Caenorhabditis elegans: one gene and its partner. The protein of the gene in region 1 purifies or fractionates together with the protein of each later gene. This does not show direct contact. Each region holds a gene or a part of one and is shown on either strand. Other genes may lie near its edges.

Region 1 (5,381 bases):
TGATACTTGATGACCAGATGCGTTGTTCTCCATTGTCACCAGTTGTGATGGGCAAAAGGCCAGCAAATGAGAGTCTGAGACCAGTCCGATCGTGCACAACAAATGGTGTATTGGTTGTGGACATGTGCGTCAAGAGACGTTTCATTTCATTCGGATTTTCTCGCATTTCGGCTTCTTCCGGCGGTGTAGTCATCACTTCGAAATCGTCTTCTTTGCATTTTAACATACTGCGTACGATGTTAATTTTTGATGAAAACGAAATAATCAAAAACTGATTTATTTTTTTCCAATCGTCAATATTTTTTCGTTTTGAAGTTCTTAGTTGGAATGTCACGGAATGAAATAGTGTGGCAGTAAAAATAATATTAGTTTCAAAACAATTCCCTTGCGTATTATTTATTGTCAGGAAAAAATATACATCATGAATCTTTTCCCATTCTTGTTGCCTTGGAGATTTCATTATTTTGTCGTCTTTTTTGGACTTCAATTTTATATTCTTGTTCCAGTACATTACATGTTTATATTCATAATGTGAGAACTTTTAAGCTTCATTGTGTTAAGCTGTAGTTTCAGAACTTTTTATACTTTCGCTTTTTGAAGCTTTCGGCAACCTTTGCCGGGACTGAACTTTCCAAAAACTCATAGAATCCTATAAAGTGTTTTTTTATTCTAAAACACTGGCACTGGTAATTAACTTAAGTATTCAAAACATTAGTTTCATTTTTTCTAAAATTTCTAGAAGCCCAGTATTGTGAATAAACTAAAGTGCCCTCAAAACGTATCATACTATTACAAAATTGATATTTCCGATAAGTGCTCAGAACTCTTTAAAAAATAATATTTGTCGAGTCCCCAGTAAACTATTAATATTTTATAAGTTGGGAACAACAAAGAAGGAAATGTAGAATCAGATTTTCATTGTCAAATAAATATCATTTTTGAATGACCAAAACTCAAAGCTTGTTTCAGATTTTTCAATATTTTCAGTTTTGGCAAATTTCCAAATTTTTAAATACTTCGGAATTCTTGCAAATTTTTGAGCTCTTCTTTGATCAAAAGTAGGATTATTGGTCGACTTTCAAAATTATGATAGGCGAAGCAATATTGTAACTTGTTATTTTGTTACTTTCCCTATTATGATTATTTTCCCCTGTGTTTGCCAAATTTTCCAAAAAAGTAAATTTTTAAGAAATTTCAAACGGTAAACCCCTACAACATTTGAATACAAAAAAATAAAACTCGTAGATTTTTTTTTGCCGACTTCTAGTTCTTCACTAATTTGTGACTATACATAAAAAATTTCAGTTTTTTTTGGTGTTACTATGGTATTGGGACATTTTTGCACTATAAGCATGGTTTCATGATATTTTCTTACTGACGATTTTAATTGTAGTACTATAAAAATTTGTCGTGCCCTTCCGAATCTTGTATTCATCCGGTGCCCAAAAATCGCTAAACTTCAAACGATAGAAACAATGAATAGATATTGAAAAAAAGAAACACCTGGTGCAACCCTCTTTTACATAAATCTAATCCATCTATTTTTCTCAGAAAAATGGCGCCACGCCATTTAATGACCCCGTCATTTTATGGGGTGGCGCGACAGAAAGGCGCCGCACTTCTACCTATTCTCCGGTCATACATATATCCATTTTGGCGCAACTTTTCCGTTCAGATCATTAGTATCATTAGGCGGACAAGTTGTCAAAAAGAACATTAAGTGAATGATGAGATAGTTAAGAGAGATAGTGTACTGATAGAAGAGGCCGTAGATTGAAATATTGTACGAAACGGAGAGGAAACTCGGCAAACAGTCTTTTCATCTCTACCTCTGTCTTTACTCGTTCTATTTTCATGTTTTTCGCAACTGACTTCATTAACAATATATTTTAATCAATTTATTTGCAAATTTCAGATTTAATGAACATCACCTTTATATTTATTCTCATTTTCGGATTTTTCAATACTCAAAAATGCTCAAAAGACTATGATCACTTTGACGATGAAGACTTAGCGTTGAGCATTCCAAAAAATGCAATAGGAGTTCCAAAGGAGTTCAGGTACATGAGTTTTTATATTTTATCAAAAATTCAGTTTTTCTTATCAGGCAACAAGTTTTAAAAGAGATGAAGCTTCGGAACAGACCCAATGATATTTTGAAAAATCGATGTTATTGCAATTATGATCAGTCGATATGTGGAAATAATATGACATGTGTGAAACAAGATGGAGCTGCTTGTTATCATGCCGTTGAAGAGGTAAAATTAACTTGTAGCTCTTGAAAGTTTCCGTTTTATTTTTTGGAATATTTTTACACCATGGAGGTTAGCAACATATGATCTAGGCGTTACCAGTTTTTTAATGAATGGATTTTTCTCATTTCTTGAAACTGACAAATTATAATAATTTTTTTTTTTTGAAAAATCGATGTTATTGCAATTATGATTATTTTCAAAATTATAAAAATAAATTTTAGGTTTATAACAAAGCTGAAAAACGAATGGAAACTCTTCATAAATGGGGATGTGCAACACTGGAAAGAGGAAGTGGAGCTTCACATTTGACGGTGTTTCATCGAGTTTTTTGAAATATTTCACCAGGTGTTTTTCAGTGTAATTCTTGGAGAGCAGCTCACCATTCTCCTAAAAGTATTGGTTGTTGCTATGAAGGTAACTATTGCAATAAGAATTTGATTCCGCCGGCATATGTTCATCATCACAAGGGTGAGTTTTTTTTTAATTTAAATTTTTTAACAGGGACTATTCAGAGAAAGCACTTCAAGAGAAAACTGACAATCCAGAAGACTATGATTCTCCACTGGAAAACATGACACGTGGAGGAAAAATGTTCATAATGGTATTTGCAACAGTCATGTCGGTTTTTGCAGTCATTGGATGTATTTATTTATGTATTACAAGAGCAGGTGAGACAGTTTTTAAATTACTAAATTGATATTTTGTTTCAGAAGAAAAATCTAAAGCCAGAGCCAGAGCCAAGACGGTGTCTCTGAAAACAGAATCAACATACATGGAGAGCAAATCAATGCTCGAAGACTCAGGGTTCGTTTTTATTTCCTAGAGTATTTGCGATATAGAGATATCATACCCATTATTTTGAAAGTGATGTTTTTAACAAATACAATTTTCAGAAGTGGTTCTGGGCAGGCTGCGTTGATCCAAAGGACAGTGAGACAAGATTTAACAATTATTAAAACAATTGGACAGGGAAGGTAAAATTAATTCTTATTTTAATCTTTGTTGCCTATATTTTTTAGATATGGAGAAGTTCGCAAAGCTCTGTATCGTGGAAGTTACGTGGCTGTAAAAACATTCTACACAACTGATGAAGATTCATGGAAAAATGAAAGAGATGTATATCAAACTAACATGATCAATCATGAAAATATCCTTCGTAAGCTATTTCAGTAAAATTACTTTGAATTTCAAGAATTGTTTCAGAATTCGTGGCGGCTGATATTTGGAGTGAGGAAGATTCAATGACAAAGATGCTTCTTATCACTGATTATCATGAACTGGGATCTTTATCAGATTATCTTTGCCGTGAAGAAACATTGACAACAGATGAAGCTCTTCGACTTATTCACAGTTGTATATGTGGTATTGAACATCTACATGCAGCTGTACACGGAACTGGAAGCTTTAGAAAACCTGAAATTGCACATCGAGATATTAAATCAAAGAATATTATAGTCAAACGACCAAATGTGTGTTGTATCGCTGATTTGGGTTTGGCACTACGATAGTGAGTTATTTCAAATGATGCATCTGAAAACCAAAGATTTAGTTGTTCTGAAATTTAGAAAGAATAATGTTTTCAGTCAAAACGACAAAATTCTCCCTGAAAAATTCAATGTTCAAGTTGGAACAAAACGATATATGGCTCCAGAACTGATATCAAACAAGTTGAATCCAAAAGATTTTTCTCAGTTCAAGATGGCAGATATCTACTCAATGGCACTTGTTATGTGGGAAGTTGCAATCAGGGTTGAGGTATGATTATTCAATGAGTTTAAAATAAAGGCCATGATTGTAGGTAAACACCTGTGAGGAAGTGTTAACTGTCGATGAGACCTCTCCTGATCACAGTGCATCAAGTGGTATCGGAGAGTCAGTTAGTTCATCTGGTAATATATCGAGAATGCATCTACAAAAAACAAATGTAGAAGGACATTCTACATCTCTGAAAGCAAAACAACATGTCCCACCATTCGATGGAATCGTGCACAATGATCCCAATTTTGACGAGATGAACGATGTAATTTGTGTACGTCGAATACGTCCACCACCGGATCTTGCCTGGAAAAACGTCCCAGCACTTAATGAATTGAGCAAGTTGATGGAAGACAGTTGGCATTCAATTCCACACTTCCGACATTCTGCTCTTAAATTGAAAAAAGAAATGGCTGAGTTGATCAAAAACCCCGACAGACAGGTAATTCAACACGTTAAGGAGCTATATCTAACTCTATGTTTTCAGAATCAATCGCAGCGTAAAGTTGAATTCCAACAGCAAGACAGTGGCCTTGTTGAGTCAGCCACCAATCAATCTTAACCCACTTTCTGATCTTACTTTCGTTGTACCAAAATTTTTGGCTTCTTTAAAATCAATTTTACTTTTTCAGTTTTGTTCATATTTCCACAACGGTCAAAATTTAAAGCGATCTCTCTAATAATTTCCCATCAATTTTTTAATTGTGCAACTCTTATGAACTTGTTCTCATCTCGATTTACTGCAATTTTTGTGAATAAACATTGTTCCAGACCTGTACGTTCGTGTTGTAATTATGCGACATTATTGTCCATCATTGCCTAATATTTCCTTGATAGATTGCCGATAAGACAAATTCTTAACTTGCGCTCCCTGTGGCAGAAGACGGAGCAAACAAAATTATCAGCTCAACCATGTTTAAATGTACGTTTATTATCTCTCTATCTGAATCTATCTGGATTGGTGTGCACTGCATTTGTGAGCAAATATAGGCATACTTGTACGTGGTTTGATAAGATAATACTGCACCGTTAGACAACTCTTTTGGGTGAAACAAAAGGGAGACAACTGCAAGTTGCATCAGTTGGAACAATGAAACATTAATTCGTTAAAACACAAAGCACATCTGATATCATTTTCACAATTTATTTCGTTTATCACATATTTTAGAAGATCATCCTTTTGTAAAGTTAAAAGTGGATTCATGATATTTTAATTTTGACAAATCTCGACTAGAAAATTTTTAAGGATATCAAATATTTCAAGAAATTTCTGCACTGCAAGTTACGGCAAAATGTCCATCTGTCTGGATTTATTTTGTAGGTGAATCACTTGACTGTAGAAATCGAATATGATGCATGCAACTAAGTCTT
Region 2 (4,745 bases), on another chromosome or scaffold:
AAAACGTTTTTACCCTACTTTCAAATTGTTTTAGATTATCAACTAATGACACTGCTTTTACTGGAGGTTTTCATTGAAATTCTTCACCAACTACTTCCGTTTTTTATTTTTCACTTGAGGTGCTGTCCGATCGAATCTGATCCAACTCCACCACTATTTCCATCGCCAAGTGATCAATTTAGTCTAGATACAGAGAGATCAAAGTAAGAAATTTTTGAAGATTTCTAGAAAGTCACAATTTCAGATGTAATGCTGCATTGGATTCTGCAAGAGCCGAGTCTATGCGAAGTCCGAGAATTGCAAACTTTGATATGTGCTTGGTGAGTTGTTGTTTGCTCTATTAAAGAATTGTAAACGATAATCATTTTTCATTTATTTTTCATTAGTTTGCATTTATAAGTTTCTTGATATCTACAAAATGAACCGAGATTTAACGTTTTAAAGTAAAGTTGTGGCGTGCCATACTAAAAAAGAAAATACTGTGATCATGATAGTGTTTCTTTTGAAATGACAATTCTCTTGGTATTTTTTCAGGCTGAAGTAAAATTTACAATGTCTACATTCAATGAAGTTCTGAATTTGCATTCTTCTGCAGAATGGAGACGGTGGGTATTCGAAGTAACTGTTTTTTTTAATTTTAATTTTCAGAAAGCTGTGGCTAAACGCCTACCGTCGGTTTGAAATTCTTGCGTTCATAGTTCTCCAAATAATTAATTTTGTACTATTTTCAACTTTCTACCAATAAAAAATTAAGTAAAATATTAAAATCAAATACCAAAATGTTCATTTAAAAAAGAAACAAAAAAGGATCAGTGCATACAGACACAAAAACTATGAGATCAAATATTTTGAATTTGTTTTGTTGTTTTGAACATTCAATTCTAATCGAGTGAAAAATGATGAGAGTGAGAAGAAAAAGAGAGATAGATTTTTTGGAAGAAGAGAATTAGAGAAAACAAGAAAAGAAACTGTCCGTCTTCATAAGAGCTCTTGGTTTGGAAAAAATAGGAGAAAAGGAACATTAGGAAGGAATCACAGAAACATGGACAAACATCGGGGAAGAAAAGGAAAATGTGAATCGAAGACAAGAATAACAAGAGGAAAAACGGTTGAAGGTGAGAAATGAGGACCCGTGACACATTGCACCAAAAAATAAGGAGTTAGTAAAGAAAATGAATGGTAGGGAAAAACAAGGAGATGACAAAAAGTGGTAATGTGCGACGACGATGGCGACATAGAAGCGGGTATCACCGGCACCCGCAAGATTCAACCCGCATGTCGGCATACTCTCTTATCACTATTCTAAAAAATAGATCTTGAAGTAATAAGACATGAAGTGTTTCGATTAACTTACACTTTATCTACATCCATGTAGAGAATCGAAAGAGGGCTCGTTTCAGTAGGCACACAGCAAGGTGGCGGTACCTGAAAAATATTTTAGGGTGAGGAATAAGTTTTGTCGTTTCTTTTCTAGTTTTCTACATGACCTCAAAATAAGTTGTTAGGCATGAACAAATTGAAAAACTCAAACCTATTTTTGTCTCATATTTTTTTCGAACAAGAAAAAATATATGAATAACATCATCTAAATCAATAAAAACCTTCTAAAAACTCACTTCATCAGGTCTCAAAGAGTGTAAAAGTGATTGAATAATAGCGTGATTAGTTGCATTTAACTGAGCTGGCATTGGATTTGGACAAGAGCCTTGACATTGATAAGCATCGTAGCCCTCTGAAATTTGATACGATTTCTCAATTTTTCTTCTAATTATCTTTAATTCTACTTTAAAACAACAATTAAAATACTCACTGGGTGCCATAATCCAGTCTTGCCAATTTAAATCATCAAAATCCACGTAGAAATCAGTCCTCCGACAAAGATTGCTCTCGGCCTCGGTGTTATGATGCTTTCTACCCTACAATAGAATTGATTAACAATTTTTCTACTTTTAAGAAATCACAAACCTTTTTTCGATTTTTTCGTTCGCTGTTGCCTGTTTGTGCACTCCGTTTCCGCCGCACACTGGACGGTTCGGACAGGTCACTGAACACAATAAGCGGAGCACTCTGAGCCCGCGCGTAGGGCAATGAGCTCAGTGAGCTGCTCTGTGTCTCTTCGATCTCCACATCTTCCGGCAAATCGATGAAGAAACTGATACGATTTGTTCGCCGCAAAAAAGCGGCGGTCACATCAAAATCGATCCATTCGGTAAGGTTGTCGACGGATCGAGATTCGATTTGAAATCGATCATTGTTCTGTAGTTTCATATTGTGAGAAAAAAAAATGCTAAATGATTTACATACTATATCATCTTCAAAAAAATAAATACTAATATTGCCGGACCTCCTCGCTTTGTTGTTGCGTCGTAACCGGAGCTGAAAGTGGCAAGTTACAGATGGAAGGTGTTCAAATGAGCATAAGAATAACATTTTCGAAAAAAAAAACAGAATTGAGAAAAACTCACTTTCAAAGTAGCCTTAGTCACTTCTTCATTGTGAGCATTTCGAGCAGCCAATGAGAGGTTATAAGACAACAAGAACCCTTCGTTATCTTCAATAATCTCCTGAAATTTAAGTCTTGGTATTTGGGTATAAGCTAAATCTAAAATCTCACCTTCGGATAATAGTGTCTGACCCAGTCGACATCATTATCATCGTCATAAATATCCCACATGTGTTGTGGAACATCAATGCTCGGACCAGTCTGCACAGGTACGTGCTCGAGTCCCAACTTCCGAAGCAAACCGCGTCGGGTAGCGTGGGACGCGTGTTGATCGGCAGCAGCAGACATTGGTGTGAAGGAGATGAGGAGGAAGAGGTGGAGAATGGCGGACAGTTGGAAGCTGTGAACAAGGGATTTTGTGCTTGAAATCGTTGTAGTTGTCCGCACAGAGTCGTTCATAGTTGAGTTGGGCGCATCAGGCAGCCACTGGACATATCGTAGGGAATGTGGAAACAGATTGGACAAAAAGGGAAACGGGACAGGACAAGGACTTCTATTTGCGGGGGGCTCGCCGATGACGACTCTCCTCTTGTTTAGCGCATAATCAGGCTGAAAAGTCGGACTATTTTTTTTTAAAGATACAATGATTTGAGATACAATGACAGAGAGTAATAGAACCCAAAGAAAACATTATAATTCTGTAAATTATAAAATAAATTTGTAGAAAATTTAAAAGAAAAATGTTCCAGATGTTTTTAAAGATTTTCCGTGTAAAAAAAAAGGATGCAAGTGTAATAGAGAAAGACGGTATCACATTTTTTAAAAATAATTATTGAATGTCCTCTAATAGACAGTTTTTTTTTCAAAGTTTCAAAGTATTTTTTAAACTCATTAAAAAATGCCACTAATTTCTACTACGAATCAAGCTACAATTAAGGAATGGTTGAAACTTGAAATGTTACAATCCTAGAACTTTGGTATATTTTTAAACTTTAGAAACATAATGCAATAAACAATGAATTCTAGCTGTACTTGGATCTAGTCAAGCAACCAGTATGAAAATAAGATTAAAATTGTTTCCAAGAACTGCGTTCAGACATCTAGACTTGTTTTGCAGACTGATGAAAGGACGAGAAGAACAAAAAAGTTCATAAATCCAAAAATGCAAAAGACGGGTTTTCGAAATGCCTCTTGTCAACTTACTACCACTGTTGCTTAAAAAAGCTCAAAAAATGACATATAAATGTGACGTTGAGGGGGAGGAGAGGAACACCCACCAGATTCATCGAGTGGGTGTGAAAAACAATAGCTCCACTTTCAGAAAAAGAGGAAGAAAAATGCAACATAATGTAAAGGATTGAGAAGAATGAAATGAGAGAATCGAATTTCAATGTATAGACACAGTTGGTGAAACTAAAGATGGAAATCAATTGAAAATTGGCAGCGATTTAGAGCCTGAGCAGAACCGTTGGCATATTGTAGACGCCATCTATTTTGGGAACATTCTTCTCATATTTTCGACACATATACACAAATCGCAACAATTCGGCACAGAGGGGGAGGCTGCGGGCGGTGCGCTCAAAAAAAGAAGGCGTTTTTGGTTATGATAAGTTTTGCGCTGCTGCTGCTGCTCAACCCGAGTAAAAAAGTTCCAGAGCACTAATGATGAATTGATCCCGAGGGATTGTGCAAGGTTGCCCCCTTTAACACTCGTCGGCACCGAGCTTGGGAAAGCTTTGAGTTGCAGATTTTGGTTGGTAAACATTTGCAAGAAGACCCCAAAGACGGACATTACAGAAAAAAGTGAGATGAGGGAAGTGAGCGTGAGAAAACTGGAAGGTCTGCAAGATTTGGCAAACAGTATGGTAATCAAGGAGGCTACTGGGAATTATAGAAACGTAAATGTTTGTAATTCAATTTCGCTCATTTCAATTTTCCAATTAATTTGCAAAATTTCACGACAAAAAAATTGTCTGAGTTCATAAAAATGATAGGAAATCTACAGCATTTCCAAATTTGTTTTCTAAACCAGGTTAGCAAGTATTGTAGGATTCAGGTTGCTAAAAACCGTTATCCGATTCCAGGGTAATAAAAAAGACATTTTAAAAGTCTACAAAAATTAACATGCTCATCAACGTTGAGGGGTGTTACCTAAATTTTTCTGAAGCTCTGAGTTCTGAAACTTTGATATAATTTAAACTCAGTTTTAGGTCTTGACAGCATCTAAGAAAAATCTAAGAAAAAATGTTATCAAAAATTCCAGGAAAATTATCTGTATTCAAAAAAAATTTTATACAGATTT

Evidence for each region.
Region 2: the proteins of sma-6 (region 1) and dbl-1 purify together in Caenorhabditis elegans (affinity purification with western blotting, with the first as the bait; one study listed by BioGRID). This does not show direct contact.

The regions. Positions count from the first base shown.
Region 1 is NC_003280.10:6,322,569-6,327,949, forward strand, and holds sma-6 (Serine/threonine-protein kinase receptor sma-6), read left to right. Parts: upstream 1-1,915; 5' UTR 1,916-1,920; coding exon 1,921-2,060; intron 2,061-2,107; coding exon 2,108-2,258; intron 2,259-2,476; coding exon 2,477-2,566; intron 2,567-2,611; coding exon 2,612-2,723; intron 2,724-2,767; coding exon 2,768-2,923; intron 2,924-2,965; coding exon 2,966-3,059; intron 3,060-3,148; coding exon 3,149-3,229; intron 3,230-3,274; coding exon 3,275-3,411; intron 3,412-3,458; coding exon 3,459-3,762; intron 3,763-3,838; coding exon 3,839-4,010; intron 4,011-4,053; coding exon 4,054-4,452; intron 4,453-4,497; coding exon 4,498-4,572; 3' UTR 4,573-4,787; downstream 4,788-5,381. Other genes in the region: C32D5.4 (uncharacterized protein), read right to left, coding at 1-511.
Region 2 is NC_003283.11:6,756,442-6,761,186, reverse strand, and holds dbl-1 (Protein dbl-1), read right to left. Parts: upstream 3,053-4,745; 5' UTR 2,903-3,052; coding exon 2,615-2,902; intron 2,565-2,614; coding exon 2,466-2,564; intron 2,377-2,465; coding exon 2,305-2,376; intron 2,257-2,304; coding exon 1,966-2,256; intron 1,917-1,965; coding exon 1,811-1,916; intron 1,733-1,810; coding exon 1,617-1,732; intron 1,426-1,616; coding exon 1,355-1,425; intron 1,303-1,354; coding exon 1,248-1,302; 3' UTR 769-1,247; downstream 1-768. Other genes in the region: T25F10.4 (Neur_chan_LBD domain-containing protein), read left to right, coding at 35-203, 245-320, 535-605, 649-745. UniProt on the Caenorhabditis elegans protein: Ligand for the serine/threonine-protein kinase receptor type-1 sma-6 which activates a TGF-beta-like signaling pathway. Multifunctional protein that is involved in body size, male ectodermal patterning, innate immunity, lipid metabolism and neural plasticity.